5 linked regions of the Macaca mulatta genome follow. The protein of the gene in region 5 interacts with the protein of the main gene of each other region in a pairwise test. Links are inferred from orthologs where the notes say so. Each region holds a gene or a part of one and is shown on either strand. Other genes may lie near its edges.

The links. The genes of interacting proteins can lie anywhere in the genome.
Region 1: the proteins of FHL3 (region 5) and CCDC198 interact in binary tests that used the Homo sapiens proteins (3 or more experiments, as listed by UniProt). The two-hybrid records come from large-scale screens. The link is inferred for Macaca mulatta from reciprocal best matches to the Homo sapiens genes FHL3 and CCDC198.
Region 2: the proteins of FHL3 (region 5) and PAK5 interact in a two-hybrid assay, tested with the Homo sapiens proteins (2 studies listed by BioGRID and IntAct). The two-hybrid records come from large-scale screens. The link is inferred for Macaca mulatta from reciprocal best matches to the Homo sapiens genes FHL3 and PAK5.
Region 3: the proteins of FHL3 (region 5) and SPMAP2 interact in binary tests that used the Homo sapiens proteins (3 or more experiments, as listed by UniProt). The two-hybrid records come from large-scale screens. The link is inferred for Macaca mulatta from reciprocal best matches to the Homo sapiens genes FHL3 and SPMAP2.
Region 4: the proteins of FHL3 (region 5) and KIRREL2 interact in binary tests that used the Homo sapiens proteins (3 or more experiments, as listed by UniProt). The two-hybrid records come from large-scale screens. The link is inferred for Macaca mulatta from reciprocal best matches to the Homo sapiens genes FHL3 and KIRREL2.

What each region holds. Positions count from the first base shown.
Region 1 is NC_133412.1:130,592,418-130,598,769, forward strand, and holds the start of CCDC198 (factor associated with metabolism and energy), read right to left. Parts: upstream 4,393-6,352; 5' UTR 4,134-4,392; coding exon 3,911-4,133; intron 1,441-3,910; coding exon 1,358-1,440; exon of another isoform or gene 1,353-1,357; coding exon of another isoform or gene 1,311-1,352; intron 1-1,310. UniProt on the Homo sapiens protein: May be involved in tuning the metabolism, energy expenditure, and excretion processes.
Region 2 is NC_133415.1:74,157,544-74,163,815, forward strand, and holds the start of PAK5 (serine/threonine-protein kinase PAK 5), read left to right. Parts: upstream 1-1,880; 5' UTR 1,881-2,030; intron 2,031-6,272.
Region 3 is NC_133424.1:1,024,604-1,030,850, reverse strand, and holds the start of SPMAP2 (sperm microtubule associated protein 2), read left to right. Parts: upstream 1-1,855; 5' UTR 1,856-1,984; coding exon 1,985-2,451; intron 2,452-3,637; coding exon 3,638-3,760; intron 3,761-4,061; coding exon 4,062-4,133; intron 4,134-4,552; coding exon 4,553-4,614; intron 4,615-5,367; coding exon 5,368-5,437; intron 5,438-6,247. UniProt on the Homo sapiens protein: May be involved (but not essential) in spermatogenesis.
Region 4 is NC_133424.1:47,105,475-47,111,247, forward strand, and holds part of KIRREL2 (kin of IRRE-like protein 2), read left to right. Parts: intron 1-378; coding exon 379-529; intron 530-1,178; coding exon 1,179-1,284; intron 1,285-1,398; coding exon 1,399-1,547; intron 1,548-1,777; coding exon 1,778-1,905; intron 1,906-1,990; coding exon 1,991-2,123; intron 2,124-2,408; coding exon 2,409-2,509; intron 2,510-2,672; coding exon 2,673-2,892; intron 2,893-3,355; coding exon 3,356-3,460; intron 3,461-3,789; coding exon 3,790-3,899; intron 3,900-5,773. UniProt on the Homo sapiens protein: May regulate basal insulin secretion.
Region 5 is NC_133406.1:202,787,482-202,793,902, forward strand, and holds the start of FHL3 (four and a half LIM domains protein 3), read left to right. Parts: upstream 1-2,451; 5' UTR 2,452-2,638; intron 2,639-2,925; exon of another isoform or gene 2,926-3,268; coding exon of another isoform or gene 3,269-3,410; intron 3,411-6,421. UniProt on the Homo sapiens protein: Recruited by SOX15 to FOXK1 promoters where it acts as a transcriptional coactivator of FOXK1.

The DNA.
Region 1 (6,352 bases), on a different chromosome or scaffold from region 5:
AAATACCAATGTTCTCTCTTTGACCTTGTTTGACTATTGAGAAAATCAAAACTTAACCTCCTTTGTTTAGGATTGATAGATATAAAAAAGTACTTGTGAGCTATAAAGTACTAGACAAATATTTTTCACTAGTTAGAGTAATATCTTCTATTTGAACTAATCAGCTTAGAGGCTTCACGGAAACATGTATTAAACACACTCCTTTGAAAGGAAGTATTTGATTTAGGAATAAAATATCTTTTAAAACTGTCCTGTTTACTTAGAGGATTTGTAAAAACTTGTAAATTAGATATTAATTTGTTATATTTCATTTTATTTTTCTTTATCTAAAGAATAATTTTGTAGTTTCTAATATTTTGGGAAAAAATACTCTTTTGAGACAAAATGATATAATCACTTCAAATAATGGCTGTGAGCTTCTGCAGAAGACAGGTAAAGAAAAACCAACTGAAACAGAAATAATCCCCAACAAATGAGCTCCAGTACCTCTGGGATTGGTCCAGGCATGTGGGTGAATTGTGTAGCAGGTGGGATTTGGCTTCAAATGTCAGTGATAGATCCTGCTCACAAGAGAGCCCTAAACCCTCCTTCCAATGATGCTCATTTTCAAGGACCACTCCAAACTACCCATTCCCTTTCTAGGTTGAGAGTTCTTAAAATGTATAGCTATCTACAGAGAACCCATTAAATATTTATTAAGGTGAATGTGTTTAAAGCTCTTGCTTTGCTTCCTTGGAATCCAATGTCCTGAATTTAAACAACCAGTTAACATCTAGAACAATAAAAGGTTAAAGATAGAAGGACTATAGAAATTACTTACGCTGATAGTTAGGAGTACAGATTTTGGAGACCTGGTTGCTATCTGACCTCTGTGAGTCTTTGGGGGTAGTTACTGAACTCTCTGACTAGCATATATAAAACAAAGATAATTCTTCCTTTTCATAGATGGCTAAGAAGATTAAATAAATAACAGATTGAATTGCCTGTTATAGTATCTGACTTGTAGTAGGTATAGTAGGTATAATTAAATAGTAGTAGCTGTTATTATTTATTACAAGTTGTTTTCCCATAGTCACTCAACTAATTAGTGCTAGATTCAAGCCTCTTGAGTTGCATCATACTTATGTCCTTGCTACTAAACTTGCTTCTTTCGGTGGCCGGTCTTAAAAGCAAAATCATTGCTAAAGGAAAATCTTAAAGTAATAGAGTATTTGTGACTGATTGCATTTTTCTTTAAGAACATTCTCATTAATAGCTTGGTCATTATCAATGTCCCTCTTTGATGATTATAGTTTAAAAAGGGATGTTACCATTATATCCAAGAAATTCCTTATGAAGCCTTTTAAATTCATCTTACTTGAAGTCTTTGGGGTGGATGCCTTTTAATAATACTTGTTTCTCTGTGTTCCAGTGGGATGTCAAAATCCACATCTCTGGATGCTTGAAGGATTGGAGAAGAAACAAGAATAAAACGTTAAATATAATTTACTATTAGATCAGGTAATCATTAGTTACTAGACTTTATCAACACAATTTTGTACCTTTCCAGTTATATATGTCTAACCTGTAGGTTGAATGTGGAGATGAAACACAGAAAGCAGGGAACCTACATTAGTGCAAATGACACTGTTTTAGTCTAGACTTGGGATTTAATATCTGCTCTCCTAACTTCCTACTCAGGTTCATATTTAGGGGAAGAATTACAAAATTACCAATATGTTGACTGCAAATATTTTTCAAACAGAATTTGGCCTGGAAAATAGAAATTTATTGACTTGTTTTAATTCCATAAAATCTCCTCACTGAAATATAAGACATCAGAAAAATATATAACTTTAAAAAATGAAAATAATCTTCTTAGATGAAATAGATGATAGATAGATAGATAGGTGATTATACAGAGATGAGACAGAAATGGAGTATGTGTGAACACAATTCAATAGCCCCTTTAGTGAAAAAAATTTCCACAGATTGCCACTATAATACAGCATATCAATATTCTTTCCTGATGAAACAAGCCAGGGATACAGAGTTAAGCCTCTATTAGGAAACAGAGAGGCTCAACAGATCCATTATGGATTTTATTTTCCAGCTTGATTATCCTGAGCTCTTGGGAGTGCTACCATGACCAACGCTGCATGAGTGCAGTTCTTGTCTTTCCCTTTTAATAATCTGGACACATTCTGATTTCTAGATTGTTTCACAGAGTATTTTACAGTCCCACTTTGCATTTTAAATGGAAAAATCCATGGATAATTATGCATCTTTCTCTTTAAGACATGTGAATGACCGCTTTAAGGACTTTGTTCTCTCTGACTTTTAGTGGTATGCAAACTATGTCCTTATTTTCTTTTGAAAAGATGCCAGCATATTGAGCAGGATGGAAACAACAAACATATTGGATTTAAAAATGTAAGTATTTTCAGCTATTTTTTCAGAAATCTTACTAATCCTTATTTTTTTATTTTAGTGATGTTAGTCCATTATTTAATTAGATTCTCCTCAAATGGCATAGGCTGTGTCAGGCATTTATTTTTACCCCTGATTACAAGTGAAAAAAATTGATGAAGTAACTTGCCCAAGGTCGTTCGATTTGGTATTTGATGGAGCTGCGGTGAGAATATGGGAGATCATCATGAGAATCCTCATGATCTCCTTGTTATTTATTTTCAATGTGATTTTGTCACTTCAGACATAAGCATGTTTTCCAGTTGGGACTCTAAAGCACATGAATCAGCTTTCACCATTTATTCAGTTACCTAAATCTTTTTTTTTTGAAACAGAGTCTCTCTCTATCACCAAAATCTTAAAACTCTCAATGGGGATTTGGATAAAAAGGGAATTCCTCAGTAGGAGCATTGCATACTCTTAGTGCACATTCACCCTCCATTTTTTAAATCGTGTCTTGTCACCTATTCGTCTGTCATAAAAAATTTCCTAAGGGGAAAATTCCCATCTATGTGCTTAAGAACTTGAAGACCATAAAGAACATAAAAATAGGCCATATAGAAACAACCAAAGGTTATCAATTCTGCAGACAGTAGACATGAAAAATCATTCCAGGCAAGATTTGCTAGGTACCAAAAGAGAATGTGAGGCTTTCTGAATGAGGCATCCAATAAGGGAAACTTATTTGTGTTATTGATCCAGAAGGTGAAGGAAAGGGAAAACAATATACATATGCATATATATATATAAAAAATAAACATATATTTTTCTAAGTGAAGATGTCTGTTTAATTATCATTGTGGTCATGATAAAACATTTTACATGGCTTATAAAATATTCCAGGATAATTTATAGCCACTTCAGGCTCAGAGCTTCCAATCATAGTGGGAAAGAATTCTGTTAGTTCTGCAGATGACCATGAAGAATGTGGGGTTGGGAAAAGGGTGACTCATCCACTCCAATGTACTGTAATAAATCAATTCTGTTTAGGGTGGTTTCAAAATTCATGTTAGAATTAACTCACTCTTAAAGTGCTGCTTTCAAAACCACAAAGCCCGGTGCATAAAACTATACTGGAGAGAATGATTTAAATTTAGAATTTAACTGAAATGCGATTGCTATCATTTATCACATTAGTATCTATATAATTTTAATGGTCTGTCAAAGCTAGGTATAAATATTGAAAGCATTACAAACTGAGCTGAAACAAAATGATTTATCCTTCTCATATGGAATGGTGAAAAGCCCTTTGTACAGTTTATACTCCCATTCTAATGCACCCAGAATACTTTCAATTGACATTCAATCCTCTTTGAAAGATTTGAGTTTTCAAAGATAGCCTAAATTCCTCTACATTTCAGTAATTTAGAAACTTTCTGAGATCATGGAGACAGTCAGATAAATCTATTAATAATGCTCCTTGGTCCAGATACACACATCTCATGCTGGGTTTTATGTTTACCTGCATAGTATCTTCCATACCAGTTTTCTTGTAAAGGTGGCAGCTGCCCTTCCAAGGCTTTATTCTGGTCCTGCAGTCTTGCCAGTGAATGTGAAGTCTTTTCTTCCAAATTCTGATTGAATGCAAAGTCCACAGGGCCAGCTGAGGGAGTCTCTACCTCTTTGTTTTGCAAAGGTGCTACTTTGATCACCCTCGGGTGAGTCTTAGAGTGACTCAGGCCCATTTCATGTGAAAGACATTCAGAGGAAAGCTGCGAGGAAAGTGGTTTTGGGGTCTTTAATATAGCTTGTTTTAATCAAGGCATTTCAGAAGTTTACCCTGGCTTTACAAAGCAGTCATTTCCTTCATGGCATCCTTCTAGCTCTGTTTCACTGCACACTAACCCTTTTGGCCACTTCCTGGGAGGCTGGTTTCCATGGAGACTTCCCTTCAACTTTGCCATTTCAGACCCAAAGAATCCAGTTAAACATTGACTTGGTTATGCTGCTTTCTGAAATACTCAGTGATAGGAATAGAAGCCACTATTGATCATTAAACAAATATCTAACACCAGGAAGATTATTAACACAGAGAGAGATGTAGAGCAGAGGTTTAGAGAAGTCTTGAACTTGACGCTTTCACTGCAAGCACCTTTGTAAAAAAACTAACAGCTGAGAATAGCTAAGCCATCTTTGCAACTAAGAGGATGCATGCTAATTACCAAGGCCTTGTTAATCTTTAATTTAATTGAAGAATTTATCCTCCAAGTAGGAAAGAAAGCAGCGGAGTGGCTAAAGCGTCATTTGATTTTTCTGTTGATGACTTCAGTTGCCTTTGAAGGGGATGAATACATTGCAGGACAGGAGGATAATAGAAACTTTTTTCCTGGGGATGAGGGGAAAAACTTCTTAAACATAAAAAGATAGCCTATTTACTATGTTTTTAAATTTAATTAAATTCATTTATTTATTTTTGAGACAGAGTCTCACTCTGTCACCCAAGCTGGAGTGCAGTGGTATGATCTTGGCTCACCACAACCTCTGCCTCTCCAGTTCAAGTGATTCTCCTGAGTCAGCCACCCAAGTAGCTGGGATTATGGGCACCTACTACCACCACACCCATCTAATTTTTGTATTTTTAATAGAGAAGGGGTTTCACCATGTTGGCCAAGTTGGTCTCAAACTCCTGATCTCAAGTGATCCACCTGTGTTGGCCTCCCAAAGTGTTGGGATTACATGCATGAGCCACAGTGCCCGGCCTATTATGATTTTTAAAGTAGAAAAAAGACTAGAAGGAAATATGCTGAAATATTGAGTAGTGATTTTTGAATGGTGGGATTATGGGTGATTTTTATTTTATTCTTTATACTTAGAAGTGGGACTAACTTTCAAGCTCTAATTGTTCATGACCACAGATTACTTGTGTGTTCATCACATCTCCATAGAGAAATTAAAAGAAAATGTATTTTTCATCTTTGCAGAATCCATTTCCTAAGGGACTAAGGTGGTGTTTGGAAAGTCTTGGTAGACAATCACATTTATCTAAAAAGATGCCTGAATTTAGTTTTTTCCTTATTCTCTTTGCATTTTCCACATCATTTTCTCTGCAGCAGAGAGATTTATAAGTAAAGACTAATATATTAACAGTATCTGCAAACAAAACAACTTTTGGTAAACAGACTAGTTTAATTACAAGGATAAAAATACTTGAACAAGGTCTAGTAAGATTTATTTTGGGGTACAATCAGTTTAATTATTTCTAAGGGCAGAGGAATGTATTACAAACTAACAAATGAACTAGACATTGTGCTGAAAACTGTGGACTTCATGGATCTGGACCAGTAAGAGGGATTCAGCTCTTATGTTTTGTTTTATTATTATTTAATTTTCAGACAATATTTGTGGAGAACATGAGCCTTTGTTGAGGAAATTGGTTAGTCATTGAAGGAATGATTAAAGAAATAAAGATGCATTTCTGTGTTTCTTTCTCTTTTCATTACTAATGACTATCAAGCTTTGTGACTTTCCTGATCTGTGAAATGGGGTTAATAATAATACTTTGTGGGAAATGAACCTGATTCCATTTATAGCACTTAGAATAATACCTGACATGTAGTAAGCTCACAGTAATCATTAGCCAGTATCCTCCTCCTCTGAGGAAGTATTGCTACATATCTACATGTGCATAGGATAGTCCTTGTTGCCAACTGGTCAGAAATTAAAACAGACATATTCCTGTCTAAAGGAGTTTGCCCCTAGGTATAGAAAAGACCAATGAGGGAAGGGTAAATTAATCTGGCCAATGTTACTGGGAAAACCACCATGTCTAAGGATTATCATGAGAAAATATTCATACGCTGAAAGGATTTTGTTAAAATGATAGTGAAACATTTAAATTTTATGAAAAGAGAAAAAGGAGAGTTTAATTTCACGTATAGAGTTCGATATAAGATGTAATTTCTTA
Region 2 (6,272 bases), on a different chromosome or scaffold from region 5:
CCAAAATAAATTTGAGGCAGCTAACAATCATCATCATATTTAACTAGCAGAAACAAACATACGAACACAAACTTTATGTATAACAGGAAGGCTATTTTAAGTGATTAAAGTTCAACATTCCAAATAAAAATTTTAACTGATACTAACCAATGACAAACTCTATCTCAGTAAAAATATGTTCTGGCTTTTGCATCTATGTGAGCACACATATAAGAAAATCAAAAGTAGAGAATACTTATGCATATAGTTGTGGGTGTGACAGTGGTGGCAGTGGGTAGGTTGTTAGGGCTGTGTGCAGCTTTGAGAAGGAAGAGATGAATTTAGAGGCTCTTACTCCTCTAAATGGAAAAAGAGAGTATGATACACAAGGACACAGGACTACTGAGGGAGAAAAGTAATCATCCATTTATCCTGTGGTTTCTGTTTTGAGATGGCCAGTACGATATTAAAGGTACTAAGTGAATGGAAAACAAGCAAGGGGAAATGATAACTGTTATACTATTAGCTAGAAAACTGTCTAAGGTCATTGAGTATAGTAGGGAATGGCAAGATACAAATCCTTATTTTGTAACCTGCTATCTAGTTATGGGATCAGATTCCGTATCCACTACTAGCTCATAAGGGTACCCTTGTGGCAGCTGAAGACAGACAAGGGCGTGGCTTCTTCATTTCCAAGGGTGAAACCTCAGGACTACTTCGTGAATGTCTTTCATTCACTAGAGTCTTGATAATGCTGGAGACTTCAAGAGTCTGGGAGGTCAGTAGGCAACTGGGAAGTTTAAGTTGAACCGCCAAATATCATTGCAAACTTCAGCCCAAACATCACTCAACACAAAGGCTTGTCATCTCTTGGTCCAAAAATGCGCTATATGTTTGTCATAATCTGTCAGTTTTCTTAACTGGGCAAGCCCAAGCTTGCTATTAGACAATAAACACTTTGATGCCCAGTCTGAGTTTTTGTCCCAGCTCAGGAAAGGCAAGGGGACAGCCAAGGCAGACTGGTTCAGACTTGATCAGGGCAGCTCAACCAGCAACTGGCTTACTAGTCAACTAGCAAAGTGAGCATGAAAAGGTCCAGGAATCCTTCTTCCCCTGGGCCTTAAATTGTAAATCAGACAGCAGCCAAGGAGAAGCTGGGTGGTCAGAAGCTTCGTGGAGCCTACCCCCACGAAGACTCCTTCCAGGGAAGGCCCAGCAACCCCAGGCTAGAGGAGTCTCTGTGGACACCAGAGACCATTGCTGGGCTGGCGGATTGAAGGATGACCACTCAGAGGTCACAGATAAGGGGTTATCTAGATCCTTGCTATTCAGAGTGGTGGGAGGGCCAGCAGCAGCAGCATCACTTGGGAGGTTGTTAGACTTGCAGAATCTCAGGACACAGCCAATTGAATCTGAATCTGCATTTTAATTCACAGGCACATTAAAGTTTGAGAAGCACCGGTCCAGGTGGTGGCAAAGCAGCCAACCCGATGTTCTGCTTCTCAGCCCCTCCTCCTCCCCACCTCTGCTAGCCTCTTAAGCAAAGCTCAATCCTGCAATGGTCCTGAACAAAATTTCTGCAAATCCCGAGTGCTGGGGGAGAGGGCGTGCAGGAGCTGCCCCCGCCGGGGACCGCTGGGAGTAAGCGTGACTGGATTGGTCGCCTGCTCCAGCTCCCGGCTCCTGCACCCGGAGTGTAGACACGCCCCCCGACCCTCCCCCTCACCTCCACCCCCGGCCGCAGCTACCGCCTGCCTCCCGCCGGCTGCAGCGAAAACCCGGAGCAGCTGCGTGCGCTCATGGACAGTCCTCCGAGGAGCGAAGCCGGGCAGCTGGGCATGCTCAGTAACTGGGGGAGGTTTGGGTGGAGAGTAGAAAGCTGTGGCTCTGCCTCCCACCCCCTCCCGCTGGCCCCCGCCCCCCTTGCCCCTACCCAGCCCGTAGTAGTTCCCCAGCGTGCGCCCGGGGAGACCGGGAACATGGCGCTGGGAGCGCTGTAGCAGCTGAGAAGGGGCTGAGGCACCGCCGCTTCGCTGACAGCCGGCCACCAGGTAGGCAGGCGCGCCTGTCGGGGCTGCCTGGGTGGGTGTCCGCGCGAGGAGAGGCGCCTGCGGGGATGCGCGCCGCTGGTACCCGGAGCATCTCGCTTTGATGGGAGAGGATGCGAAGAGGACCTCCGTGACAGCGAGATCATGCATCTCCTAGGAGATGCAAAGGCTAGGGACCTGCTGCCTGGAGGGTAGGGATAGGGGACCGCCCACCCCCAACCCTTGCGCTACTATCCAGCCTGGGCTCTCTACGGGTCAAATAAAGGATAGTTCCATTTTGCTGGGCGGGAGGGCGTGGAGGAGAACCCCGGATTCCAGCCCTGAGATCCTGCTGGTACCCCGAACCGCTCGCAAGCCCAGCACCAGTTCTTTGTGTGTATACAGCCGCGCACACCCTGGGGGTGTCACGGCGCTGCTTTTCCCGAGGAGTGCTGGACATATTGCCAGGGCAGGATTCCCGTATGGTTTTTGTCTTTTGGCAGGTGTGGACTGGAGGATGCAATAGCTGAGCCTTTATGGGGCTGTGTTTTCCTTTGTTATTTGTGTGTGTGTGTGTGTGTGTGTGTGTATGTGTGTGCGCGCGTGTGTGTGTGCGCGCGCGCGCGTGGTGGGTTGTAATGGAGAGAGAGAGAGAACTTCTGCTTGTGGGCACCCTTGTGGGCAGGGCGTGGAAGAGGATCTCGGTTCCAAACTCTTGTCAAAATTGTGTGCCATGTCAGCCTCCTAGAGGGTAAACTTGAGAAGTCCAGGGATCATCACTGCTCAGTTTGGAGGATAAGCGCGATCGCCCTTCTTGAAACCGTGTGTGTGTGTATATGGAGCTTTCAACTCGGGCTGAGTTAATTTGTCAACATTAGATATCAATTAAGGAAACCTGAATCGCTGAGGCTATTTATGGTGATCTTTTTATGGCCAGAATAATAAACAAAAAGAAAAGTTGGCACAAAGCCAGAGGAAAGTGTCATTGTTAATAGTTGATGACAGCTTGAAAGACTGAACACACTTTTAGGGAAATCAGGAAACCTGGCATTCTACAGAGTTCTACCAAGATATAGCCACAGGGTCTTAGGTAACTCACAAAATCTCTTAGTGCAACCGCTTCTCTTTTGGGGCTTGGAGGCTGTAGACACTCTTTTTCTTACCTGATACAGATGGACAAGATGCTTTTTAGAAGCCCCTCCCACACTAGAATTATATGAAAATGACACCCTATAATAACAGCTCTGCCACCTTAGATTTGTGTATCTGTTATATTCAATAGTACAACAACTCAATGTTGGGGAGAAAGGTAAACAGGTTAGTTAGGGAGAAAGGTAAATTTAAAGTATGGGTTTATCTTTTGCTTTATAATATAAAGGATAGGCATCTTGGATATGAAGTTTGGAGACAGTTTCCTCTGCACTCGTGCTATTTATTTTTATAGTCTTGTTAGGTGGCGAGAATGAGTCAGTATCATCAAAATGAAGTGGAGGAATACATAAGGAAAATGCATTTAAGTAAATCAAAGCCATAAATGTCCAATCTGATGATAATACCTTGACTTGGAATACATATGTGCAAGGCAGGTGCACTGCTAAATGGAAGCAATAGAAGCCAATGGCAAGTTCCTGGGTAATGCTGACCTTAGACTAAAAATTGTGTGTTCTTCTGTGAATAGGTAGAGATTGTACTAGGTCTCTGCAGCTTGTTATTTTATTAATAATGTGAGTTTTAATTGCTATTAATTAGATATCAATTGAAAATTGATATCTAAGCATTGAATCAGTTAATATCTAAGCACTGAAAATCTAGTCTGGCAGTGCCTTTCCACTCTGTCAGGGCCTGCTGAAATGCTGTAGGTATGGGAGGCAGGCATTTGAAATCTGACTCTTCTGTGTTTAGCTTTGTGATTCTGGGAAAATTACTTAACTTTCCTAAGCCTCAGTTTCCTCACTTATAAAACAGTCCTGGGAATAGTAAGACCTACCTAGATGAGTAGATGTATGGATTACTCATAATTTAAATCACCAGGAAAATGGTGATGACCATTATGAGTAAGAGGGAAATGGATATTTACTGAATCTATACTATGTGTCCTATATAATGATTCAGGCTCAGTTAATTCCCTTAAATTTCCCAACTATATTAGTTTCCTAGGGCTGTTATAACAAGTTACCAAAACTGGGTGGCTTAAAACCACAGACATTTATTCTCTCATAGTTCTGGAGGCTAGAGGTCCAAAATCAAGGTGTTGGCAAGGCCGTGCACCCTCCAAAACCTCTAAGGGAGGATTCTTGCTTGCCTTTTCCAGCTTCTGGTAGCCCCAGGTATTCCCTGGCTTGTGGCAGCATAACTCCAATCTCTGCCTCTGTCTTCACATGGCATCTTCCTCTCTGTCTCTGTCCCTGTGTCCAAATTTCCCTCTTCTTATACGGACATCATTCATAGTGGATTTAGGACCTGTTCCTTATTCAGTATGACCTCATGTTAACCAGATTACATTTGCAAAGGCCTGACTTCCAAACGTCATATACACAGGTTCTGGATGGGCATGAATTCTTGGGAGACACTCTTCAGCCCAGTACACCAACATCCCTCTGAACTGTGTTTAATGACCACATTAACATTATGTTAGCATAAGAGCAGAAGGTAAAGATAGAGTAGCATAGGTTCAGAAAATACTTTAAAGATTATTTAAGGGAACTAACCTATTTGAGGCTTTATATACACAACCATGGTAGGGAAGAGCAGGGTTCAAAGGTACCTCACTTATACATGTCACTTACCTGGGAGCCACGACAACCCAGGACCTGGGTCTTCTAGAGTATCTCAAACATACTCTGTCCCCAAATGATTTGTTGATGTTGCTTTCCATCCTTTTTGCTACCCTTCCAAGCAAATGCAAAACAAACAAAATGCATTAAACAACAAAAACAATAATAGCAACAAAGATAAGCTAACAACTTTCTAGTCCTTCTTAACCTGGTAAATGGCACCACTATCCATGGAGTTGCTTTAACCAGAAACCCAACCAGAATCACCTTTGACACCTCCATTCCCTTGACCCTCCACATTTAAAACCATCATATAGTCTCATAAATGCTATTTTCTATATAGATCTCTAAATACATCTTAATAAATTCTTTCTATCCCCGCCACCACCACTATCAAACTTCAAGCTACCATCTCTTACCTGGACCACTAGTATAACTTCCTAACAAGAACCTTGGTTCCTTGCCTGGCTCTTCTAATCCTTCATGCAGAGCAGATAGGATAATGTCAGTTCCCTACATAAAATACCACCCACATACCTGGGACAGATTCCAGAGACTCCTAGAGCCTTTGGTACTTGGCCAGCCTCATCTTGTGCATCTCTTCCTCTTGATGCTGTCACACTGACCCTCTGTCTGTTTCTGAACATCCCCAACCATCTTCCCTCTATATTTTACCAGTGTGGGTCATACTCATCCCTTGGGCTTCCTTGACCTCTCTTCCCCACCAACCCAACTCTCTCATCATCCTTTTACTTTTATTCCACACACTTATTCCAGTTTGCAATTGCCTGTTTGTTTGTTTGGCTATGTCTGTAAGCTCTATAATGGCCATTTATTTTATGTCTTATATGCAGAAGGTCCTCAATAAACATTTGGCGAATGAGTGAAGGAACGAATACTCTGCCTCATAGCATTTTCCTGTGCCAACTTAAAGATCTGATTTTTAGAAGGTTTTTTTTTTTCTAGTGTAGAAAGAGCAATTTAGAACCTTATTCTGACTTCAAAAGGGGAGTATTCTTGGCTTTAACAAATGCATCTTTTAAGAACTGATTTAGGCTAGAAGTTAAGAATTGAGTCAAAATATTTTTTTGGCAACTGAGGTTTTTGTAAAAATACATCAATCAGTCAACAAATATTCTGCAAATATTTATTGCATGTGTATATTTGCCATGCTAAGGCCCTTGGAAGACAATGGTGAGCTAGACTTTCAGTCTTCTGGAAATTTATAGTAAACAATAATTAATAATCATTATGTATAATAATAAATAAATAATACACTTAATTATTTGTTGAGCTTCTGTTATATGCCAGTGTCTCTTCAGTTCCTGTCCATAATCATCACTATAGCCCTCTAATCTTTCCCAATAACACAGAACCCCACACTTACTAGGAGCACAACAAATATTTTGTGAATTAATGATTTGTTGGTACTATTATCCTGATCTTTTGAAACAGGAAATGTATGCTTATCTGGGGAAAAAGGTATCTGCTC
Region 3 (6,247 bases), on a different chromosome or scaffold from region 5:
CGGGAGATGGGACGGGGAGCTGGAGAGGGCTTTGCGTGTGTTGATGAACTGGGTCTCTTGTGTGCCAAGTGGTCACATGCCCGGACGGCTGGCCCCACACTGGTGGCAGGGGTGAGGGACACAGCAGGACTCTGGGGTGGGCTAGCACTGGGTGGGGGTGGGGGTCTTAGGCCTGGGAGCCCAGAAAGGGGAGGGATGGTCAGGGACTCTCCCTGCATGGGGGACCGACAGGCTTGAGTCTTCAATGATGAGTAGAAAACCACCAAGCACAGAAGGGGGAAGTGCTGGGCAGAGGCACAGGGGAAAGGCTGGGTGGGGCACAGCACGGAGAGGGAAAGGCTAGGGGGGCACGGAGAGGGAAAGGCTGGGTGGGGCACGGAGGGGGAAAGGCTGGGTGGGGCACGGAGGGGGAAAGGCTGGGTGGGGCACGGAGGGGGATAGGCTGGGTGGGGCACGGAGGGGGAAAGGCTGGGTGGGGGCACAGCACGGAGAGGGAAAGGCTGGGTGGGGGCACAGAGGGGGATAGGCTGGGTGGGGCACGGAGGGGGAAAGGCTGGGTGGGGCACGGAGGGGGATAGGCTGGGTGGGGGCACAGCACAGAGGGGGAAAGGCTGGGTGGGGGCACGGAGGGGGAAAGGCTGGGTGGGGCACAGCACAGAGGGGGAAAGGCTAGGGGGGCACGGAGAGGGAAAGGCTAGGGGGGCACGGAGGGGGAAAGGCTAGGGGGGCACAGCACAGAGGGGGAAAGGCTGGGTGGGGGCACGGAGGGGGAAAGGCTGGGTGGGGCACAGCACAGAGGGGGAAAGGCTGGGTGGGGGCACGGAGGGGGAAAGGCTGGGTGGGGCACAGCACAGAGGGGGAAAGGCTAGGGGGGCACGGAGAGGGAAAGGCTAGGGGGGCACGGAGGGGGAAAGGCTAGGGGGGCACGGAGGGGGAAAGGCTAGGGGGGCACAGCACAGAGGGGGAAAGGCTAGGGGGGCACGGAGGGGGAAAGGCTGGGTGGGGGCACAGCACGGAGGGGGAAAGGCTAGGGGGCACGGAGGGGAAAGGCTGGGTGGGGCACAGCACAGAGGGGGAAAGGCTAGGGGGGCACGGAGAGGGAAAGGCTAGGGGGGCACGGAGGGGGAAAGGCTAGGGGGGCACAGCACAGAGGGGGAAAGGCTAGGGGGGCACGGAGGGGGAAAGGCTGGGTGGGGGCACAGCACGGAGGGGGAAAGGCTAGGGGGCACGGAGGGGAAAGGCTGGGTGGGGCACAGCACAGAGGGGGAAAGGCTAGGGGGGCACGGAGGGGGAAAGGCTAGGGGGGCACAGCACAGAGGGGGAAAGGCTAGGGGGGCACGGAGGGGGAAAGGCTGGGTGGGGGCACAGCACGGAGGGGGAAAGGCTAGGGGGGCACGGAGGGGGAAAGGCTGGGTGGGGCACGGTGTGGCAGAGGCGGGAAATTCAGCTCCTTTGACGAGCTGCAAGGAGGTCCGGAAGGCTGCAGCCTGGGGAATACTCCAGTTATAACCATGATTTTGTTGTGAGAATCGAACAGCCTAGTTTGAAGTTATTTCTCAGGAGAGGTTGGAGCCGGAAGGGTCTGTATCCCTGAGGGTGCAGTTCTAGCTGCTGCGGATTGGAAACTTCGCCAAAACCACTTAGTACTGAGGACACTTATTGTTTCAAGTAACGAGAAGCCTGGACACAGGGTGGATTCCAGAGCTGCTAAGTTCAGAGGCTTGACAAGGGCATCAAAGACCCGCTTTTCAGTCCATCTGCCCTCGGGCTGGCAGGCCTCATGGTCACAAGGCGGCTGCCTGGGCTCTGGACATTACAGACGGGCCCAGCAGTGACAGCAACGGGAAATGCGGTCTCTTCCTTGTGTCTCCTTTTAAGAGAGGGAAGCCATATCTAGATAACCCCTGCAGGGTCCCCTCAGGCCTCCTTCCTAAACCAGTCCTGGGAGGTCCCTGTGAGCCACGACTGCCAGGACTGAGTCCTGATGCCAGCGCAAGCCCAGGTGACCGGCATTGTAGACAGCGCAGGGGTTAGAATGTGGACTGTGGAGAATGTGGGGGACACTCTCCTGTTGCCGCGGCCACCACAGACACATTTGGGTGCTGAGGGAGTGAGGCCGCGGGGGCTGGGAAGGGACCTGTACATGGGGGACAGCAGGCGAAGGTCACTCGGGAACCAGCCCAGCTCTGAGGCTGCAGGCAGGTTGGAAAGGGAGCTCAGCGGTGACCCCCGTGGCCTCCAGAGCTCTGTGTACGAGAGCCGGCGGGTCACAGACCCCGAACACCAGGACCCGGACAATGCGGAGCTGGGACCGGAGGACCCGGAAGAGGAGCTTCCCCCCGAGGAGGTGGCCGGGGAGGAGTTCTCGGAGACCCTGGATCCCAAAGAGGCTCTTTCTGAGTTGGAGAGAGTTCTGGACAAGGACTTAGAGGAGGACATTCCTGAAATCAGGTGGGCACCGCGGAGCGGCCCTGCCCGGGCGCGGTGGGGTAGGGCAGCAGCCCCCTGGGCGCAGGCCCCTGGGCGTGCGAAAGCGTTGTTCCCGGCCGCTGGCCTGGCTCGCCGAGGGGCCCAGGCTGCCGAGTCAGCCTAGGTGTGGGCCTGGTCAGCTGGCGGCCAGCACCCCTCACTGGGCCCTGAGGCAAACACCAGCACACGCTCCCCTAGCCAGTGGCAGGAGGTGGAGTAAACAGCGCTGAGTTTGGAGTCAGGCAGACTGAGTTCAGGTGCCCAGAGTTCACAGTTTAACAAGTGATGACCTCAAGTCAGACAGCGAGAAAAAGAAATGGGGAAAAAAAAGCCTCCCAACTCAAAAGCTGAAACAATTCTAAGCACCACAGGTGGCTAAAACGTTTTAAATGGTCGGGAGGAACACGTTCAGGGTGAACGAACGCTTCAGCGAATCGGCACTGGGGGCAGTGATTCTGGGCAAGTTGCCCGAGTGTCCGCAGCAAGGCGCGCACTGTACCTACCTCTGGAACTTGGCTCCTGCCCTCCCTGCAGTGTGGTCCCGGCCCACGCCCACACCCAGGTGCTCCCTTCTCACCGTGGTCTCCGTGCTGCCCAAGAACAAAGCAGCGGCCCTGTCCTCACGGGGCCGTGCTAGCCTGCAGAGAAAACGGCAGTAGTGTGAGGGGCTCCCGGGGAGGACACGGGAGCCAAGAGCTGCGACAGGGCAGACGTCCTGACGTTTGGCATCTTCGCCTGCTGCCTGTGTCCCTCCCGCGGTCTGTGAGCTTTCTGGGAGGCAGGCGCTGCTCTCTTTAGAGGCTGGTGGCCCCTCTGGGGCCTGGCATACAGTAGGTACTTGATAAATGTTTGTGAGATGCGCAAACATTATCTTAGAACTCACTGAAACAGCCCCACCAGGTGGGAGCTGGTCTCATGTCCAATTCACAGAGGAGGCGGCTGAGGGCCTGGGGAGCCGGGTGCCCTGGCCAGGGTCTTCCATCCAGCCAGCAGTGGAGCTGCGGTTTGGTCCAGGCCTTCGTGGTGCCAAAGTCCTCCCCCAGAGACCCTTCTCAGGAAAGGAGAGGCGGGTGGGCAGGGCGCTCGAGCAAGACCTACGCTTCTCTGGGCCCCCGAACGCGTCAGGGCGAGAAAGCAGCTCCAACTTCAACGTGGAATTCTCCCAAAGCCGGCTGTCCATCAGCCAGAAGTTCCCCAGCACCATCATGGCCAAAGCAAGGAGGAAGAGGCGGCGGAGGAGGCTCATGGAGCTGGCAGAGCCCAAGATAAACTGGCAAGTCCTGAGAGACAGGTGAGGACAGGCCAGACCAACCATGGCCTCGTGGGGGCAGCGCTGGGGCTTCCTCTGTCCCCTTCCCGGGCTCCTCCTGTCCCCACTGCTCGGCTCCCCTCCCACAACCGCCACCACATCCAGCAAACTTAGGGTAGACGGGGTTGGCCAGTTAAGGAGGTGGCCAGACGCCGGGACTGGCTAGGGAACTGCGGCCCTCGGTGGCCCTCTGGGCGGTGGCCAAAGGAGAGTGAGGAGTTTGGGAGCAAACGGGAGACCCAGGGCAAAAGGCAGTGGGGGCTCGGACCCTGTCTCCTCGCAGGAAGGGATGCTGTGGTAAGGGGTATGCCTGGATTTTCCCATGCAAGATGAGCTTACGGTTCTGTCTCTACTGGTAAGTCCAGGGCTGTCTCCTCCATCTGCCTATGCCGGGGGACACGTGTCAGGTTCCGGGGAGCCCCTCCACTCGAGCCACCCTCTTCTCTCTAGGGAGGAGGATGGGGAGGGCTCCTCAGATGTGGGGCTCTCCACCCTTGTGCTTTGGACTCGGGCAATCGGCTGGGACCTGGGTCTGCTCCCAGGAGATGGCCCTGGGCCCTCTTCTGAGCTATGCTTTTCCCCAGCTACCTCCCTCTCTGGACATCAGCCTTGCTCACAACAATCCACACGTCCCGGTGGCCCCCTCCCTCCTACCCCCTCTTCCAGCAACTCCACACCCGCCCTTGGCCACCCTCCCGGCAGAGACCCAGGCTTGTTTCCGGGCAGGGCCAGGGCTCTCTGCCTCCCCTGCCCTGAGCTGCTCACTTATTCCAGGCCCTCTGTGTACTGGACCGAGCGGTTCCTTGAGGACACCACCCTCACCATCACAGTGCCCGGTAGGTGGAGCCCGTGCCTGCTGAGACCCCTGCCTCCGGCTGCTGGCCTCCAGGGAACCTGCCCCACCCCATCCAGATACTTCTGGCCTCCCTTGCCCCATATCCTGGGAGCCTCTGTCCTCTCCACTGGAGTCTGTCCCCTGAGGAGCCTGAGCTGAGACTGGTCCTGGGGGTGAGGGTTGTGGGGAACACGCTCCAGGACAGGGCCAAATCGGGGCAAGAATTTACAAGAAGACCCCCGGCTTTCCCTTCCACAATGATTTCCATGCTTTTCTTGAGAGGAATTTGGTATTGAGGTATCATAGATGCCTTCAAATGAGACACTTCGAGAGTTCCCCATAGAGGAGAGTAATAGTCCAGTTCTCTCCTGTGCTGTTCCTGACTTTAGACCCACAGTCATCACTAGGCCCCCGGAAACCCCAGGCTTGTACTAACTTCAGAACAAAACCCAGTTTCCCAGATCTGTACTGAGCCCCATTGAGGAGCCACGGGGCTGAGCTGCCATTCCAGCCCTGCCACTCCCATCCCGTGTCCGAGCAAGGACCTTCAGGCCTCTGAGCCCATTGTCCCTAAATCAGGGACAGCAAGTCTTCTCTCTGCAGGGTGTCTGGTCCCCAGCTGTCTCTGCCCACAGTTTTTCCAATTCGGCCTCCTGCCCAAGCTCGTGAAAAGCTGAATTCCGCATGCAGAGCCCCTGGGAACTGCAGGGTGTTTACGCTGGGGTTCACCGACTCCGTTTCCCGTTTTGCGCAGCAGTGTCCCGCCGAGTGGAGGAACTGTCTCGGCCCAGGAGATTCTACCTGGAATATTACAACAACAACAGGTACGGGAAGGATGGGAGGAGGACTGGGTGCCTACTCGGAGGGCAGAGTTTGGCAGAAATGCCTTATTCTCCCCTGACAGGATGCGGCGTGGGGAAGGGTCCAGGTCCTAGCTCTAGGCAGCCTGTGTTCAGATGGGGCTGGCCCGCTTCCCAGCCCACGTCCCCAGCAGGCTGCTGGGCCTCTTGCAACCGCATTGCCAGCTGTGGAATGCTGGCGGTGGAGGTCACCCGTGAAAGGGGCTTTACACAGTGCCTGACACAGCGCGTGCTCAGATGTTGTTATCACCATTGTGACTGTATTTTGTTTACTCGAAAAAGGTAGAAATTGTAAGACATATTATGTACAAAATTCTTTATCACTTAGAGCCCCCGTGCTTGTTAAAAGTGATACTGAGTTATTTCGACAGAACATGTCATTACCCATCTTTATGCAGTGTATGAAGGAAAGCACAGCTGAAGGAGACAGCAGAAGTGTGTCCAACTGTTTTGAACCACTTCTGACACAGAGACGATGATGTGGGTGTTGCACACGCTGTTCCACACCGGTATCTGTGCGCTTTTTAACGCCAAATCATATTGTAACCTGAAGACAATTTAAATTGCAATTAAACTTAACTCCTGTAGAAGCAGCAGTGCACATCACGTGAACAGCTACATCTGAGCACACACAGAGGCAGCCAGATGTGGCCATGACACTTCCGCCATCTGGCTGGCAGCACTTGTAAGCAGCATCCCAACCTCAGACCTGTTCCAGTGTGGAGACCCTTAGAATCAATGAAATGTGGCTTTATTTCTGGGCAGAGGCATAGC
Region 4 (5,773 bases), on a different chromosome or scaffold from region 5:
TTATCTATACAATTGGAATAATAATAGCATGCATGTCATAGGGTATTGTGAGGATTAAATAAATAAATACCTATAAGTTCCCAGAAGAGTGCCCAACACATAGTGAACCGTATATAAGTAAGGCAAGCTTATCCAACCTGTTGCCTGTGGGCTGCATGCAGCCCAGAACGGCTTTGAATGTGGCCCACCACAAATTCATATACATTCTTAAAACATTATGAGCCTTTTTTGTAACTGTTTTAGCTCATCAGCTATCATTAGTGTTAGTATGTGTGGCCTAAGACAATTCTTCTTCCAATATGGCCCAGGGAAGCCAAAAGATTGGACACCCCTGATGTAAGGGGTAGATGGCATTATTATTCTTATCCATCCCTCCAGACCCTGCTGAAGGAAAGGACCCCTGGATCAGTGGAGAGCACCTTAACCCTGACCCCTTCCAGCCATGACGATGGAGCCACCTTGGTCTGCAGGGCCCGGAGCCAGGCCCTGCCTGCGGGAAGGGACACAGCTATCACACTGAGCCTGCAGTGTGAGTGCAGCTGGCCCTGGGGAAAAGGGGTGTGGGGCCCTGACTCCTGGGTATGAGGAAGGAGGGGACTGTGGCCCCTGGGGAATGAGGAAACTGGGACCTTGATTCCTGGATCTAAGAGAGTAGGAGAGGGCCGGGTATGGTAGCTCATGCCTGTACTCCCAGAACTTTGGGAAGCCGAGGTGGGTGGATCATCTGAGTTCAGGAGTTCGAGACCAGTCTGGCTAACATGTCGAAACCCGTCTCTACTAAAAATACAAAAATTTGCCGGGCGTGGTAGCACATGTTTGTAATCCCAGCCACCTGGGAGGCTGAGGCAGGAGAATCACTTGTATCCGGGAGGCAGAGGTTGCAGTGAGCTGAGATCGTGCCACTCGGCAACAGAGTGAGACTCGGAGCAGGAGAGGACAGATGGCTGGGGTCCCTGGGGAAAGAGGAAGCTGGGTCTTGACTCTCACATCTTGCAGAGTAGGAAAGGATAGAAGTAACTGGGGGAATTGGGAACTGAAAGCCCAGACTCCTGACTCAAAGAGAGAAGGGGATTAGGGGCCCAGACTCCTGGGGTGGAGGAACCAGGAACTGGACCCCTAGGCCAGTGACAGAGGTGTTCCTGGTCCTTGCCCACCTGACCATTGTCCCACCCTCACAGACTCCCCAGAGGTGACTCTGTCTGCTTCACCACATACTGTGCAGGAGGGAGAGAAGGTCACTTTCCTGTGCCAGGCCACAGCCCAGCCTCCTGTCACAGGCTACAGGTGAGGACAAAGACCACCTCTCCCTAGCCCCAAGAGTGAGCTTGGGAAGGGCTGGGACCTGAGTAAGTGTGACGGAGAGCAGGGACAACGCTAACAGCGCCACCATTTCCTCAGGTGGGCAAAAGGGGGCTCCCCGGTGCTCGGGGCCCGCGGGCCAAGGTTGGAGGTCGTGGCAGACGCCTCGTTCCTGACTGAGCCCGTGTCCTGCGAGGTCAGCAACGCCGTGGGTAGCGCCAACCGCAGCACTGCGCTGGATGTGCTGTGTGAGCTGGGGCGGGGCTGTGGGTGTGGTCAAAGGTGGGCGAGGCTTTCAGGGTTGCTGAGGGGCTTGGAGGGGCGGGGCTGGGAGAGTGGGCGTGGGGTATTAGGAGGAGGAGAGAGTGGACTTGGGGCATATTCTTGCGCCCTAGAGGGTGTGGTGTTTCTATGGGGCTGATCCCGGGTCAGGGGCTATTCCTCCCCGGCCTTGTGACCCCTCATCTCCTTCGTCCAGTTGGGCCGATTCTGCAGGCAAAGCCAGAGCCCGTGTCAGTGGACGTGGGGGAAGACGCCTCCTTCAGCTGTGCCTGGCGCGGGAACCCGCTTCCACGGGTAACCTGGACCCGCCGCGGTGGCGCGCAGGTGCAGCCCTAAATCTGAGGCGGTGGCTGACGGGGGACCAGGCTTCCTTGCAAATCCGGCTTCTGACGCCCCTTCCCTGTCGCAGGTGCTGGGCTCTGGAGCCACACTGCGCCTTCCGTCGGTGGGGCCGGAGGACGCAGGCGACTATGTGTGCAGGGCTGAGCCTGGGCTCTCGGACCAGGGGGGTGGCGTCGCGGAGGCTCGGCTGACTGTGAACGGTGAGAAGGCGGGGCTTCCTAGGGGACCTAGCCCGTCCTGGGATAGGGAGTGGACAGAGGGGGCAAGGGCTAATGCAGTGGGAGTGACCTGGAAGGAGCTTTACACCCAGCGGGGCCTGGAGACCGACCTATTGAAGGCGAGGCTTTTAGGGGAATTGGAGTTTGGAGGCAGCATGGCCTGATTGATTAAGGTTAGCGGAGAGTGCGCTGGCCAGACCCGGCTTTGTTACAGCCTTTGGGGAGGGCAAGGCCTCTCCTCTGAGTGACCCACCGTCTCCATCCCAGCTCCCCCAGTAGTGACCGCCCTGCACTCTGAGCCTGCCTTCCTGAGGGGCCCTGCTCGCCTCCAGTGTCTGGTTTTCGCCTCTCCCGCCCCAGATGCCGTGGTAAGGAAATGTCACTCCTCCCGTGACCCATCCAGCTGTGATCCCTGACCTCCCACCTGGCCCCCTGAAACTACTGTGACCATCTCTGACTTCCCAGACATCCCTCCTTCTTCTTCCTCCCCTCCTCAGTCTCCTCGGTGTCCTCCCTCTTTTATGCCTCCAGGTCTGGTCTTGGGATGAGGGCTTTCTGGAGGCGGGGTCGCGGGGCCGGTTCCTGGTGGAGACATTCCCTGCCCCGGAGGGCCGCGGGGGACAGGGTCCGGGCCTGATCTCTGTGCTACACATTTCGAGGACTCAGGAATCTGACTTTAGCAGGAACTTTAACTGCAGTGCCCGGAACCGGCTGGGCGAGGGAGGTGCCCGGGCCAGCCTGGGCCGTAGAGGTGAGACCCCAGCCCTAAGACCCCAAATCTGGAGAGTCTAAACCCCACAAACTCAGGGATCCCCCAGCCGATGGTTGCAAAACCTCAGACCCTCAAATGCAGAGACCTCCAAACCTTGGGAGTCTCAAAACTGTGGCTCGTTGATTCCCAAGACCCCCCCAACCACAAGTGCCTTCACATTCTGAATCCTAAACCGAGAGACTCCTCACACCTAGGGACCCCAAAAAGAGAAACTCCAACGATTGCAAAGCAAATTGCAAAGTAAAGGACCCCTCAAACTCCAAGACTTCCTAAAGCCAGGGAGTTTAAACTCACTCTCAAACTTGGGGAACCCCAAATTCAAGGGCCTTTGAATTTCCAAATGTGCGACCTTTTGAACCCAGGGATCCCAAACTCAATCCCTGAGCCCCCGCTTCCTGGTTCCCCCTCAGCCTTCTCAGGATGTCCCCTCTGCTCCCTGCAGACCTGCTGCCCACTGTGCGGATAGTGGCCGGAGTGGCCGCTGCCACCACGACTCTCCTTATGGTCATCACTGGGGTGGCCCTCTGCTGCTGGCGCCACGGCAAGGGTTAGTGCCTGAGCCCCGCCCCAGCTCCTCAGGCCCCAGCCCCACACACACCCTGCCTGCCCAGTGACCTGACCTGGCCTTGGGCCTTGGCTCCAGTCCCATTTCCAGCTCTGCTCAGGGCTTAGCTCGCCTTCAGGTTCTGGTTCCCTCCTTAAGCCCTAACCAGACCTTCCTAGGGTCACATTCCTAGGTGTGAAGGATTCTTATCGGTTTCCAACATCCCCACCCGATCTGCCTCATTGGTTCCCAGTCCTCTCTCTTCCCGCTTATTGGTCTGCACACATTGTGACCCCGCCCATCGCTTAACTCCACCCGTCGCTGTTCGTCAGCCTCAGCCTCTTTCTCCGAGCAAAAGAACCTGATGCGAATCCCCGGCAGCAGCGACGGCTGCAGTTCGCGAGGCCCTGAAGAAGAGGAGACAGGCAGCCGCGAGGACCGGGTAGGATGCCAGGGTCTCCAGACCCGACTGTGCCTTCAGACCCAAATAATAGCCCAGTCCCAAGAGGGCCCCCAAATTCAAACAGGACTCTAAGGCCGGGCATGGTGCCTGACCTTGGTAATACCACTTTGGGAGGTGGAGACACAAGGATCACTTAAGGCCAGGAATTCGAAGCCAGCCTGGGCAGCATAGCGGGACCCCATCTCTACAAAAATACAAAATAAAATGAAATAAAATAAAAAATGAACCAGGTATGGTGGCACACACCTATAGTCCCAGCTACTCAGGACACTGAGGTGGGAGGATCCCTTGAGCACAAGAGGTAGAGGCTGCAGTGAGCTATGACTGCACCACACACTCCAGCCTGGGCAACGGAGCAAGACCCTGTCTCCATTTTTTTTTTTTTTTTTTTTAAGTAGGAGGGTTCTAGTTTTTTTTTTTTTTTTTTTTTTTTTAAACAGAATCTCACTCTGTCACCCAGACTGGAGTATAGTGGCACAATCTCGGCTCACTGCAACCTCTGCCTCCCTGATTCAAGTGATTCTCCTGCCTCAGCCTCCTGAGTAGCTGGGATTACAGGCGTCTGCCACCACACCTGACTGATTTTGTATTTTTAGTAGAGATTGGGTTTCACCATGTTGGCCAGGCTGGTCTCGGACTCCTGACCTCAGGTGATCCACCCGCCTTGACCTCCCAAAGTGCTGGGATTACAGACATGAGCCTCCACGCCCAGCCTGAGGGCTCTAGTCTTAACAGTGACCCCGCACCCAAATGTCACCCAAGTCCATGCCCCTGACCCGATTATTCCCTAGGCCCACTATATCCTCACAGCCCTTTCTTTTTTTTTTTTGAGGCGGAGTCTTCACTCCCTCGCCCAGGCTGGAGTGCAGTGGCGCGATCTCGGCTCACTGCAAGCTCCGCCTCCCAGGTTCACGCCATTCTCCTGCCTCAGCCTCCCAAGTAGCTGGGACTACAGGCGCCCGCCACCGCGCCCGGCTAATTTTTTGTATTTTAGTAGAGACGGGGTTTCGCCATGTTAGCCAGGATGGTCTCGATCTCCTGACCTCGTGATCCGCCCGCCTCGGCCTCCCAAAGTGCAGGGATTACAGGCGTGAGCCACCGCGCCCGGCCTTTTTTTTTTTTTTTTTTTTTTTTGAGACGGATCTTGCTCTGTCGCCCAGGCTGGAGTGCAGTGGCGCGAACTCAAGCTCCACTGCAAGCTCTGCCTCCCGGTTTTACGCCATTCTCCTACTTCAGCCTCCGGAGTAGCTGGGACTACAGGCACCCACCATCACACTTAGCTAATGTTTTGTTTTTTTTTTTTGCATTTTTTAGTAGAGACGGGGTTTCACCATGTTAGCCAGGGTGGTCTCGGTCTCCTGACCTCGTGATCCGCCCGCCTTGGCCTCCCAAAGTGCTAGGATTACAGGTGTAAGCCACCACACCTGGCCTTTTATTTATTTATTTATTTATTTAGAGACAAAGTCTTGCTTTGTCGTCCAAACTGGAATGTAGTGGTATGATCCTGACTCACTGCACCCTCCACCTCCCAGTTCAAGCGATTCTCGTTCCTTAGCCTCCTGAGTAGCTGGAATTACAGGCTCCTGCCACCATGCCTGGCTATTTTTTGCATTTTCAGCAGAGACAGGGTTCCAGCATGTTAGCCGAGTTGGTCTCAAACTTCTGGCCTCAAGTGATCCTCCTGCTGCGGCCTCCCAAAGTGCTGGGATTATAGGCATGAGCCACTGTGCTGGCTTCTCACAGCCCTTTTATTGTCCTGAGTGCAGTCCCCAGCTCTCGGGTGCTCTTACTGTCTCCTGCCTGGCCTCCACTGGCTGGCTGAAGGTCCTTGGGGTCTGGCATTGGGGCGGGGA
Region 5 (6,421 bases):
TCTGTGCCTCCATTTTCTCATCTTTAAAATGAGGATGAAAATATATATTTAGGCCAGGAGTAGTGGCTCATGCCTGTAATCCCAGCACTTTGTGGGACTGAGGCAAGAGGATCGCTTGAGCTCAGGAGTTCAAGACCAGCCTGGGCAACTTAATAAGACCCCTGCCTCTACAAAAAATTTAAATTAAAATAAATTAGCTGGGTGTGGTGGCCCACACCTGTAGTCCCAGCTACTTGGGAGACTGAGGTAGGAGGATCACTTGAGCCCAGGAGGTTAAGGTTACAGTGAGCTGTGATTGCACCGCTGCACTCCAGCCTGGGTGACAGAGCAACACACTGTCTCAAAAACAAACAAATATATATGCACATATATCTAATAAAGTTATTGAATAATCACTTTAATATATGTAAAGTGTTTAGGAGTGGTGCAAAGAAAGAACTCAGTAAGTACTGGCTCTCATTAAGACTATTTAGGAGAGATTAGAGCCATGCATCAAGAACAGAGATTCCAATACTCTGCCTTTTATCAGGCCTCTTCTGTACTCACTCATTTCCCCTTGCTTTCTGAAGGCTCCCCACCTTTGCGCTCCCGTCCCCCAGAGCTGACCTCCTCTTGGTACCCACTCCACCAAGGCTGAGTAGTCTTCACTGCACTCCCCTGGGCTGGGAGTCCCTTACACCTGCCAGATACATCCCAGAGAGGCCGGGCATGGTGGCTCATGCCTGTGATCCCAGCACTTTGGGAGGCTGGGGCAGGCAGATCACATCACAAGGTCAGGAGTTTGAGACCATCCTGGCCAATATGGTGAAACCCCGTCTCTACTAAAAATACAAAAAAAATTAGCTGGGTGTGATGGTGCGTGCCTGCAGTCCCAGCTACTCAGGAGGCTGAGGCAGAAGAATCGCTTGAACCTAGGAGGTGGAGGTTGTAGTGAGCCGAGATTGCGCCACTGTACTCCGCCCTGGGTGACAGAGCAAGCCTCTGTCTCAAAAAAAAGAAAAAGAAAAAAAAAATCCCAGAGAAAGTCCCCATCCATGGGCTGGATGCTCACTGCCTGGACTCCAGATAACAGGTGCCTGTGATACAAACCAAGGATGTTAGACGGGCATACATACTGAAGCAGTGTCTGCTATCCATTCATTCATCAGATGTTTATTATGTGCCGGATATTGAAGTAAGTACTGAGAAGGCTGTGGGGAACAAAACGGAGCCCTGCCTTCATGGCTCTTACCATTTAGGCAACAACAGCAATAATAAACAAGCAATAATTTAATTTTGAAAGGAAACCAGGCCTGGAGGGTGACTTGGGACCCAGGAACCCAGGCATGACACAGAGATGGGAGGGAAAGGTTCTCAGGAGTCCCAGCCTGGGAGGGTGTTAGTTCCTCTGTGAGAGCTCCGCTGCACCCAGCCTGGGGTGTGGGGAGGCCTCTGTGGGCACCTGAATCTTCACTCTAGACGCTAAGGTTATTCCAGGGTTGCTTTGTTGTCTCTTGTTTCCACTAACAGCACAGTAGAGCCTCCTGCCTCCCTCCCTCCCCCACCCCTTCCAGACCGAGGCTATTTATTCCTAGTGACAAGCCTGAGGATCCCAGGGGGGGTGGCCTCAAGGACCTGGAGGGGCCTCGTGTCCCTAGCAGGCGCCAGTCCTCCCTCACGGACACAGGGAGGAAGCCAGAGGTTTAGACACTGCAGAGGTCCCCTCCCCTCTCCTCCACCACCCCTGCAGTGCCCCATCCTCTCACACTCCTCACACCCCACCCTAGAAGCCCAAAGATCATGGGGCCAAGGATTAGGGTCTCTCCTGGGCCTCAAAGGTCAAAACTATTCCTGGGCACTGCGGAAACCCAGGCAAGACAGGACTTCTCAGCGTCAGGAGGCCACTGGAGGTGGGGAGGTGGTTACCCCTGTTTTTGCTACTCAAAGTTGTGGAGTAAAACCCTTTGGAGGTCAAGGCCCTGTGGTGGGGAGGGGTCCTCTCTTCGCCCCATGTTTTCAGAGAACACATTGGTGCCCGCTGACAGGCTCATGACAGTAGAGTCAAAACCTCCTCCTCCAGGCTGGATTAAGGCCAGGTTGAGTGTCACCCCTAAGGGTAAGGTGAGGGGGTGGGGAAATCCGAGGAGGCCACAGGACTCTTCCCCAGTGGACCATGGTCTGTGGGGTCTGATGTCCCCGGCCTGAGATAGAATACAACAGTCTCCCTCTGGCAGCTGGGGACGGGGGGGGGGGGGGGGGGGGGGGGTGGGAGGGGAGGAGAGCAGAGGCTGCGGGGAGGGGACAGGGGCGGGGTCCCGGCCGCCTGAAGGTTGGGAGAGCCAGGTTAGGCCGGGCAGGAGGAGGGGGCCGGGCCCGCTGGCGGCCGAAAGGGAGGTGGGGGCGGGGTCTGGCCCCCGCAGCGGGCTGGGGGGCCGGGGGCGGGGTCCGGGCGGGGCGGGCCCGCGCTCACTTCCTCGGGGAGGGGTTGGGGCCGCGCTCCCACTCGCCCACACGGTCCGTCTGCAGTCGGCAGCCTAGCCGGCAGCTCGCTCGGCCCCCGCTTGGCCCGGCCCGCAGGTAGGAGCCGCCGAGGGACGCGGCGCCCGGTTCCCCGCCCCGCCCGCGCCGCGCGCTCCCCGCTCCCGCCGCCCGCTTCGAGGTGAGCGCCCCGCCGACCCCGGCTCCCAGCCCCGGCAGTCCGCCCCCGCGCCCAGGCCGGGGAGCGAAAGGACCCGCGGAGGGCTGAGGCCAGCCGCGGCCCCGGCCCCCTGTACCCGCCAGGCTCTGGCCACAGGTGCCCGGGGCACGCCGAGCCCGGGAGAGCGCCCGCCCGGACTAGACCCCTCCGGGCTGCCGGGCGGGGCGGGGCGGGGGCGGGGGTGGCAGCGAGAGTTGGGCGGGGGAGGGGGCTAAGTTTGAAATAGAAAAGCCGGATAGAGACAGACCGACCAGAAGCGCTGGAGAAACTGAGGTTCTCGCAGAGCCCAGTGGAGCGAGAGACCAAGACAGGCAGGGACTCGAGGCACAGGAGGAGGCTACCGAGACCATTGAAACAAGGACACACCGGGCGTACAGTGTTACCGGTGGACAGACCCGAGACATGGGGGCCGTCCCAGGCTTTCTGGAGCATTTTCAGAAAACATACGTGGGACCCCAGCGAACACATTCCCTGGGGCCCTTCCCCAGGCCTTGGAGGTGCCCTGAGGCTTGGGCGTCATTGGCCTCAGGCTGAATCTGCTCTCTGAGGCCTGCAGAGACACTCAGAGACTAGAGACAGAGACACTCAGGCATGCAGAGGTGGCGAAAGAGACTTGGATATAGAGACAGAGAAAGGGATGTGGTGGGGATTGAGACATTCAGCCATGTAGACAAGAAGAGACCAAGACTTGAGATCCACAGAGGCATGGGCCGCCGGGGGACAGCCAGTCAAGGTACAGAGTCGTCCAAAAGCTAAAGACAGAAGCTGTGTCCAGACACAGAGATGCTGAGTGAAGCAGAGACAGACACCGGAGACTGAGACTTAGTGGGGGCAGAGAGACCTAGGTGGGCTGACAGCTTCCAGGACAGCCCCTGACTTACCCAGACCTGAACCATTGGGAAGTGAGGCTCTGGGGAAACAGAAACTCTGAGCCCACCAATCCCCCATGGGGCAGAGGCCCTGAGACAGTAAGTTCGAGATCAAGAAGAACCCCGTGGACACACACAGCCACCAAGACAGCCCCAACTTATTTTTAAACTCAAATCTTGGACAGGCTGCCTCTGCCCTGGGGGACCCAGGGTGAATGAACTGTTCCTCTCCTGTCCCCAGAGCAGCTGCGGGATCCTGCTCCCCAGCCCCCTTCCCTAGACTTCTCTGACTTCCAGGTCCCATGGGGGAGAGCAGAGCTTGGGGTTGGTGCCCGGTAGCAGAGGGTGAGGGTTGAGGGAGTTGAATTTCTCCCCTTAAGTCTCCTGTCAGCTTCTAGAAGGTGGGGGAGGGGTCTGTTCTGATCCTGACTCACAGCTGTGGGACCTGGCCGGGGTCCTCCTGGATAGTGGGCATGTTGGGGGTGGGGGACAGAAGAGTTGAATGGTTGGCATGGGGCATTGGAAAGGCTTCTGGGTGCCTTCCAATCACAGGGCTGGCAGCTGGGGAGAAGAGCCAGGCTCTAGTGCATCTCCTGTCCCCCTGCCCTTAAAAGCTGATCATCCCCTTCATCACCAGGGCAGTATTTTTAGGGAGACAGAAGAGCTCTGGCCTGGGAGGCAGGGGACCTGGGTCCTGATAACTGAGTGACCTCGGGCATAAGCCTGCTCTATTCCTGCCTCCTTGTGCTCATCTGTAAAATGGGGATGATACTCTGTCCTGCCTGCCTTTTGTGAGATCTGATGAGATGGTGGTGGGCATGGACTTTGTGAGTGGCAAAGCAGCATGCAGGTGTCTACACCTGTGGACCTGTGTGGGAGATCTCAAGAGTTATGCTTACTAGAGTCAGGCTGACTGGGCTGGAGCAACCACTGCCCCCACTGGTGTCCTCAGCAAGCCCCATGGGCCTGGGGCCTCCTATTCTCTCCCTGGGCCTAGGCTGAGAATGTCCAGGTCAAATTTCAGACAAGGCTGGGCACAGTGGTTCACGCCTGTAATCCCAGCACTTTAGAAGGCTGAGGCCAGAGGATCACCAGGAGTTCAAGACCAGCCTGGACAACATAGTGAGAACCCCATCTCTACAAAAAACAGAAAAACCTAGCTGGGCATGGTGGCATGTGGCTGTAGTCCCAACTACTCAGGAGGCTGAGGCAGGTGGCTTGCTTGAGCCCAGAGTAGGTTTTTTTTGTTTTGTTTTGTTTTTTTGAGATAGAGTTTTGCTGTTGTAACCCAGGATGGAGTGTAATGACATGATCTTAGCTTACTGCAGCCTTCACTTTCTTGGTTCAAGCAATTCTCCTGCCTCAGCCTCCTGAGTAGCTGGGATTACAGGCGCCTGCCACCATGCCCAGTTAATTTTTGTATTTTTAGCAGAGGTGGGTTTTCGCCATGTTGGCCAGGCTGGTCTTGAACTCCTGACCTCAGGTGATCCACCTGCCTTAGCCTCCCAAAGTGCTGGGATTATAGGCATTAGCCACCTCACCTGGCTGAGCCCAGAAGTTTAAGGCTGCCGTAAGCCATGATCGTGCCACTGCACTGCAGCCTTGGCAACAGAGTGAGACCCCAACTCATAACAAAAAAACAAAAACAAAAAGGCCTAGCCGACACCAGCCTGGCCAACATGGTGAAACTCCGTCTCTACTAAAAATACAAAAATGTTTAAGCCGGGTGTGGTGGTGCCCTCCTGTAATCCCAGCTACTCGGGAGGCTGAGGCAGGAGAATCGCTTCAACCCGGGAGGTGGAAATTGCAGTGAGCTGAGATGGACTTACTGCACTCCAGTCTGGGTGACAGAGTGAGACCCTGTCTCAAAAAAAAAAAAAAAAATCTGAGCTGGCATGGTGGCTCACGCGTGTAATCCCAGCACTTTGGGAACCCAAGGTAAGAGGATAGCTTGAGCCCAGGAGTTTGAAACCAGCCTGGGCAACATATCAAGACCCTATCTCTATTTAAAAATTCCAGTCCAGGCAGGGTGCCGTGGCTCGTGCCTGTAATTCCAGCACTTTGGGAGGCCATGGCGGGCAATCATGAGGTCAGGAGTTCGAGACCATCCTGGCTAACACGGTGAAACCCCATGTCTACTAAATATACAAAAAATTAGCCAGGCATGTTGGCACACACCTGTAGTCCCAGCTACTCGGGAAGCTGAGGCAGGAGAATCACTTGAACCCAGGAGGCAGAGGTTGCAGACAGCCGAGATTGTGCCACTGCACTCCAGCCTGGGCGACAGAGCGAGACTCTGTCTCAAAAAAAAAAAAAAAATTCCAGTCCAGCTCCTTGACCTAGACCTGCCTGTGAAACTATACTGGGGCTATCTGGCCCCAGTATGAGTGAGGGTGCTAATAGTAAAATAATAGCTACTATTTTCTGAGTATTTATTATCTGCCAGGTGCTTTACAAGTATCATTACATTTAAGCCTGACAACAACCTTAGGAGGTAGGAAGTAGTAGTATCTCATTTAGTTAGATGGGAAAACAAGCTTGGGGAGCTTAAGTGACTTGTGCAAGATCATCCAGCCAGTACGTGTAGGAGCCAGGATGCAAACCTTGTAGCTTGAGCGGCTTCATACACCATAGCCAGTTACACAGCCATTCTGAGCTCCAGGAGGTTCACTGGGAGGTGCCTTGTGAGGGGAGATTGTTGGAGGTGCAGGGGTTGTGAGCCATCTGTAGAGGAACAGTCTCCCCCAAACCCCGCCCCACTGCCAGTCAGGAAGAAATACAAGACTGGCTCCCTTCAGTCTCCTCAGTCGCCAGCCTTGCCAGGGAAAAGGGCGGGGAGAGGGGTATGGGCAGAGACAGGTGGGCCTTGTTGGTG